Mus musculus: one gene and its partner. The protein of the gene in region 1 purifies or fractionates together with the protein of each later gene. This does not show direct contact. Links are inferred from orthologs where the notes say so. Each region holds a gene or a part of one and is shown in the gene's direction. Other genes may lie near its edges.

Region 1 (3,562 bases):
TATTTATGATGTGGTGTCCTGCTTGAAGATACTATGTGTGAAAACCTATACGAATACAAGAAGAAATGCCATTGCCATGAGATAAGTGGCTAATGCTAAACAGAAAATATATTCCAAGCTGGCGAGGTGGCTCATGCCTTTAATCCCAGAACTGGAGGCAGAGGCAGGTGGATCTCTGAATTCACCTGGACTATATAGGGAGCTCCAGGACAGCCAGGGCTACATAGTGAGACCCTGTCTCAGAAAAAAATAAAAAATTAAAATATTTTTTGTCCCATCATCATAGGAAGAAAGAAGCATGATAACCATAATGTTTCTTTCCTTATGTGACTGTTCTCAAGAGATGAGTGTACATTTATATTGTATAATTTTGTCATAATATTAAAATTTAATTAGTTTCCTTTAATATTAAAATTATGTAGCATTATTGAGTAACTTACAGATGTCTCATATTCCTTTTTTAAAGTGTGTGGTGTGTGTGTGTAAATACAAATGCATGTATGTGATGCTGTACTTGTGGAGACAGAGGACAGCTTGTAGAGTCTCTTCTTTTCTTCCTCTGTACATCCAAGTTGGAAGCAGCCCCTCATGCTTGCACAGCAAGTGCTTTTAGCGGGGTCTCTCCTGTCTCATGGTTTCCTTAGCATAAGTCTCATGCACGAGCACGTGACAGTGGTGTACTGTTTTGATGTTAGAATTTTATGTATAAAACTTCATAACAGGACCCATGAGATGGCTCAGTGGGTAAACGCTCTTGTACATATGACTTATGACCCAAGTTTAGTCCCCAGATCCTAGAAAGTGGCAGGAGAGAGCCAACTCCCATGAATTTTCCTCTGACCTACACATGTGTGCTATACCAGTACACATACACACGCAATACATTTAAAAACATTTAAAGCTTCCTAACTTGAAAAAAAAGTTTTAGAGAATATAGGCTAAGATTGTCTATAATATCATAGGAAAAGTACAAACATGAAAATGCTTTATACTTTTTTTTAATTAGGAAGACTGAAAGTGAATATGGGAAATATTTATTTAAAGCAGAGAAATTATTCCAAAGCCATTAAGTTCTACCGAATGGCCTTAGATCAGATCCCAAGTGTCCATAAAGAAATGAGGTAAGTGTAAAATATAGTGTCTAAATTTTAAGTATCTCTTCATAAATAAGATGACTATGATTTGCTGTCATTGGGCTGAGCATTTGAAGTGTTTATAGATGAGAGGTGTTAGGTTCATGTTTCAGATGTGGTATTTTGCTCTGTTCACCTGTGTCTGTTTGCACACACCTCTATAATGGCAAAATTAAGGTTAAAGGAATAGTGTATGATCAAGTAAAATAAAACTAAGCTAGCAGTGCAGCTGTTAGTAACGTTACACAGCTTAACACCAACACAGCCTTGACAACAGTGCTGACAGCACGGCAGACCACAGTACGTGGCTAGAAACCAAGACCCAGGGGCGCACTCCTCCTGCTGTGAGACAAGTGAACCTAAATGATCACGGTGGAATGAGAAGTTGGGGTGTTCTCTACCCCTGCAGTATTCAAGAGCAAAACCTGTATTTGTTGGTTTAATGTTCCCTAGGACATTTCGTTTGTGATAGTCCCTTTAAATGCTACTATTCAGCAAGTGCTACCTAACTTACACATTACTCTAGAAATACCCTTAACTCAGATAAGACCAAGAATTTGAGCATGTCAGGAAAATGTAATTTGGGGGCATATATTAAATGCTTAATAATGACTGAGGCAGTGGGTGCAGTAGTAATTTAGCCAAGGTAGTAACTACTGAGGACTACTCCGAGTTCTGTAAGGAAGGGAACTGAGGTGGGTTACATTCATGGAATGAGTGACCCTGATAACAGTCTGCTAACTATGAATAGACAATGAGATTATGTTCAGATATACTTAGAAAAGAGGCGGGATCACACCTGCTAGAATGACCCAAAAGGACAGGTATTGATGGAGATGCTGATAAGTTAGAAATTTTATGCAATGGATATGTGAAATGCTACAACTACTTTGGAAGACAGGCTAATCTTAAAAGGTAAACATTTACCATATGGCCATCAAGAAAATTTACACTATTTCAAAGGTTTATATGTGAATATTCATAGTAGCATTAATCATAGCACTAATCTAAAATTCCACCAGGTAGGCAGTAAATAAGAAAATATGGTATGGCCAGGTATGGTGGCACACATCTTTCATTCCAGTACTCTGGAAGCAGAGGCAGGCAGATCTCTATGAGTTCAAGGCCAACCTGGTCTACATAGAGTGCCAAGCCACCAAGGCAGCCAGGGCTACATAGTTGAGACCCTGTCTCAAAAAATAAAATAAAATATAGTATCTATGATATAGAATACTACTTAGTGGGGCTGGAGAGATGGCTCAGTGGTTAAGAACACCGACTGCTCTTCTGAAGGTCCTGAGTTCAAATCCCAGCAACCACATGGTGGCTCACAACCATCTGTAATGAGAACTGACGCCCTCTTCTGGTGCATCTGAAGACAGCTACAGTGTACTTAGATATAATAATAAATAAATCTTAAAAAAAAAAAGAATACCACTTAGTGATTTTAAAAGGTGGTGAATCACCAATACTACAGTATAGAGGAACCTCAGGATTGTGTCAGGGAATGAAACCCGACACTTCATAGGATTCTACTTATAGGCAATAACTAGGAAAGGCAGAGACAGGAAGTCAATTCGTGGTTGCCTAGTGCTCACTGAGGATGGGAACAAAGGGTTTCTTTTCAGGGTAATATGTGGTTATTGTCCTGCATATGTAAATACAGCAGTAATCACCAAATGTTGTGATCTCCTGTTACTCTATTAAAAGGCTTTTATAAATTAGAGAGTAAGATGAGAAAGAGGCAGGGAGGTGCAGCTCCTGAGCGTCAGAGCAGGATTCACACAGTTTAGGCTGGTCGGTGTCCCTCTTTGTTTAGCATTAAATAACCCGTGTTTTCTTTGTTTAGGATCAAAATAATGCAGAACATTGGAATCACATTTATAAAAACTGGTCAGTACTCAGATGCCATCAACTCATTTGAGCACATCATGAGCATGGCCCCGAGCCTGAAGGCAGGCTTCAACCTCATCCTTAGTTGTTTTGCCATTGGAGATCGGGAGAAAATGAAGAAGGCATTCCAAAAATTAATTGCTGTTCCGTTAGAAATTGATGAAGATGATAAATATATCTCCCCAAGTGTGAGTATGCAAATGAGAGTTAACAGCATCTCCTGCTTGTCTGTCTTTCTGTTTTTGTAAATGAGCTAATTGGAATTTCTCAAGGGGCAGTTGATATATTTCATTTGCTATTTAAATTGAGTTGAGAAAGGAACTCTTGAAATTGGGCTAGAAATATGGTTAAAACAGACCATGCAATTTAAGTCAAAACTTTAAAAAAGGAATCATTAAAAATAAGATTTGACTATACCTAGACCGTGTGACTATGGGATGTTTATTTCCTGGTTAGTTTTTGTCAGCTTGACACAAACTAGAGGCCCCTGGGAAGAGGGAGCCTCATCTGAGGGACTGCTTCCATCAGGTTGGCCT
Region 2 (4,037 bases), on another chromosome or scaffold:
CCCGTGCCCCTCAAAAGACTCAACCCCGCCTCCACCTGTCTTCTAGCGACCCGTCTCCAGCCCCCATCCTTCTCTCCCTCCTCACGAGTCTTCCTCTCACCATCGAGGTTCCTCTTAGCACCCTAGTCTCCCCATCTCTTTCCCGGTTTTGCGTCCTCAACCTTCAGATTCCCCTTTCTTCACGCCTCACTATCTCCAACTTCCCAATCCACGGCCTCAACTAGTTTCTTCCCTGCCCCCCCCCGCCCCACCCCTCCCCCTATTCCAACCCTAGCTCCTTCCCTTGGTGCACTCCTCAACCCCTTTTCTTTCCCCCTTTCCCGGCACTCCCACCCAAGCTTCTCCCCAAGTCCACCTAAGCTAAATCCGCTCCCTCTCCCGCCCAGAACCCTAAATTCTCACACACCCTCAGTCTAACCCGGGACGCCGCGGACCCCACCCTTAAGCCCACCTCAGGCACCCCTACCTCTTCATCCTCCCACCCCTCCCACCGCGAGCTCTACCTCGTCCCTAGGGCCTTTCCCCTCCCCCAGCCCCTCACACTCCGCCCCCGCACCCACGCGCTGCCTGAGGCTCGGCGAGCGGCCCGGCCCGCGGCCGCCACCTACCTGTGCCCCTGCCCGGGGCAGCGAGCGGCTGCACCTCACTGGCGGCTCCTTCCTCCACTGAGCGGCTGACCGGGAAGCGGCTCGGCAACCTAGGCCACAAAGCCCGTGAGGGTGGGACACACACAGAGGGTGGCAAGAGGGAGGGGCTGGGGGCGACCTGGCGCCGCGGGACTGAGGTACCAGCAGGGAGGGGTGGGGGGGGAAAAGAACTCGGCTGGGTAGGCGCGCGTGCGCGGGGCCGGCATGAGGGGCGTGGTCTGATCTGGAGTGGGCGGGGCATGTGGCGGGGCGGGGCCGGGAGTGGGTTGGGACAGCCGAGCTGAGAAAGCCGGGCGGTCGCAGGAAGGGTGAAAGGGGCGGGGCGGGGCCGTGCGTGTGCGTGCCCGCGCGAGGGCATGTCCCCCGAGATCTCTTGGAGGCCCCCCCACCTCCCCGAGGCAATGCAATGTAAAGGTAGTCCTGAGGAAAGACGCGCAAGTGAGGTGGCGCTTCTAGGCGGAGCCCCTGCCAGGAGAGGGCGGGGCGGGGCTGCGCAGGGCGCGCGCCTGGGAACTCCTCTGAGGCTGAGGCGGGGCGGGAGCGAAGCGAAGCGAGGCGGGGCGGGGCCAGGGCCGGGCGGGGCGTGACGGGCGGGGATCGCGAGCGGACCCGGTCCTTTCGCGGAGCTACCCAAGGCCCAGGCGAGCGGGTCCGTGCAGCACGGTGGGCGGGCACCGAAGAGGTGGGAGCCCGGTGGCGAGGCCGGCGGAGGGTTGCGGGCGGGAAGGAACCGGTTGTGAGGAGACGCGCGGCGGGTGACCGCGGGTGGAGCAGCGATGTCGCTGGGAGAGAACAGAGTGATTAGGGCCTGGCCTCTCTCTAGGCCCCCCTCCCCAAGAACTTTTAGTGCCCTGAAATGATGCTTTGACCCTCAGAAGGAAGAACAATTACAAATGACAGTTAATATGCCAAACGTAACACATTATCAGCACGGTCCAACCTCAAACAGGAATAATATTTAAAGTCAATGTGGGTGCATTTACGTTATTTGAAATTATTTGAGTCTTGGAGGTGAGAGGACTGTGTCCGGGCTGCCATTATGGGAGAAAGAGAATGACCGGTTTTAAATTTACACCAGAGCTACCAGTGGATGCTGTAGGAAAGGATTTGGGGCAGGCAGATGTAAGAGCACACAGACCCAAAGGTGCTGGTCAAGGAGAAAATCAACCCAGGACGTGACCCAGAGGTTTTCTGAAAGAAGTACCAGAAAGGGCTACACTGTATATTTAAAGAGAAAATCAATGGCCCTGGGAAAGGGTAGGGAATCCACCGTCCCTGTCTGTAAAACCCAGAAGGATGGATGGTGTCCTAGAGCCTACTACCACTTTGGTAGAGAGTCCCTGAGGGTATTCATCCTCGCTTAGATCAAGCATTGCCTCTCAAACCTCCATCTTGGAGCTGTGTGGAAACATGTCTGCTGGGTGGTTTTATGGGTTTCTTGGGATTGGTTTGCCTCTTTCTCATTAACTGCAACAAAACCTTAATGAAAGCCAAATCTCTGCCCCTGGTTTTAAAGAACAGATATTGGTAGTTCAGGTATATTCATTTTTTATTAAAGTGCTTTATATTCACTGTATTAAAGTGCTTGTTTGCTTTTTCCTTAGATCATTTAAGAATAAGGTAAAAAAAAACCTGAAAATTTGAAGAGAACACACTGTATCTTATTCATCTACTATATACATAGATATGAGAACATTTCCCTAGATGGTAACTCTTTTATTTATTTTGGTTTTTTGAGAGCAGGTCTATTCTAGCCCAGGAAAACCTTAAACTCACTTCTAATCCTCCAGCCTTGACCTACACAGTATATGGGGCATCACCCCTGACTTGTAATTTTTTTGAAAATGTATTATGCTCCCTTATACATTATTTATCCACATGAGATATATATCCTGTATTTACCTGTTTTGAGACATTCACACCAATTTTGATAGTAAAACTAGAAAATATAAAAACACCACAATTTTGTCAACCTTTTGCAGGGGATGTACATCTTTAATGTATGCATAACTGGAGGGGGCACTGGAAGTTTTAAAAAATGTTTATTACATTTATTCATTTGGAGGAGCATGCTTATGAGTTGGTTTTTTTTTTTTTTAATCTGCCCCGAACAGTATGGACCTTAATCATGTCTTTGAGAGGTTCTGAACTGAGCACCGTACTCTAGGTGTGAATCACATTGTTAGCACCCAGCCACTAGTTGTGTGTGTGTGTGTGTGTGTGTGTGTGTGTGTGTGTGATCAGCTTGCTGTATCAGCATTATAAGTGCCTGGGCCCTTAGTACCCGTGGACCCCTTACTGATGGAATGTGCTACCTCTTTAACTTCTTAAGTTGCGTTTTTATTGGCTGTTGGGTATCAGGCCTGGGGCCCATGCCTGCCCAGTGTCACTTTCCCATTGTCTACACCTTCAGCCTAACTTTTAGTAAATCTAAAATAATACTTTTTTTTTTTTTAAATAACACTTTTAAATTTTACCTTTGGGCCAGTCTTGTCTTAGTCTTGTCTTATGTTGATTTTTGTCATGGACTAAACAAGTTAAATTTTAATACATCTAGATCAAGGGTCATAAAAGGCCAAACAATATTTTAGGCTTTATAGTCTGTGACAGCTACTCAGTTCTGCCATACAAAGGCAGCCATAGACAATATGTAAATTGATGGATATAACCTTGTGCCAATGAAACTGTTCTATCTTGTTCACTTTCTCTCCCTTTCTTTTTGCCTCTCTCCCTCTCCTTCATTGAACCCAGGGTCATGAACATGCTAAGCACAGGCTATACAACTGTATTATACGCCCCTGCCCCTCCAGCATTTCTTTTGAGGGCCAGTTCTATTACTTAGCATATAAGCTGACATCTCAGCTTTGTCATGTCTACAGAATTGATAAGCACACTTCTTATGCCCATATTTAACAATGATGTTATTTCAAATACCTTTATTTAATTCTGCTCCCCGCTTCCTTTGACAATAGGATCTTATTCTGTAGCTGAGGATGGCCTGGAGTTTACTATGTAGCCCAGGCTCCCTGCCCACTTGTGATAATCTTGCTTTTAGTCTCCTACATGCTTTGATTATAGATCTGTACCACTATGCCAAGCCACATAAGTTTTGGATGGGATTATAGCTCAACAGTAGATCATGTGCCTAGCATTCTGAAAGCCCTGGGTTTAGTTCTTAGCGCTATAAAAATAAATTCAAATTTTAAGAAGTGCCGAATAGTACATGTTCATTTTGTTTTGCTAATAATCATTCTCTGAGTGTAGCTATTCAAAGAGCTATAAGTAATTGTTGAAGTATTGTCTGTTATTCAGCCTATATTTTCCTGGCCCAAAGTGTATCTTGAAAATATTTGTTAAAATTTTCAGAAACAAACATGTTCCTAATTGGTA

What was found. Proteins that work in one complex are often made in the same cells at the same time.
Region 2: the proteins of Ift88 (region 1) and Hspb11 purify together in Homo sapiens (affinity purification with mass spectrometry; 3 studies listed by BioGRID and IntAct, with this or other methods). This does not show direct contact. The link is inferred for Mus musculus from reciprocal best matches to the Homo sapiens genes IFT88 and IFT25.

What each region holds. Positions count from the first base shown.
Region 1 is NC_000080.6:57,444,559-57,448,120, forward strand, and holds part of Ift88 (intraflagellar transport protein 88 homolog), read left to right. Parts: intron 1-1,006; coding exon 1,007-1,121; intron 1,122-2,982; coding exon 2,983-3,214; intron 3,215-3,562. UniProt on the Homo sapiens protein: Positively regulates primary cilium biogenesis. Also involved in autophagy since it is required for trafficking of ATG16L and the expansion of the autophagic compartment.
Region 2 is NC_000070.6:107,252,667-107,256,703, forward strand, and holds the start of Hspb11 (intraflagellar transport protein 25 homolog), read left to right. Parts: upstream 1-1,236; 5' UTR 1,237-1,329; intron 1,330-4,037. UniProt on the Homo sapiens protein: Component of the IFT complex B required for sonic hedgehog/SHH signaling.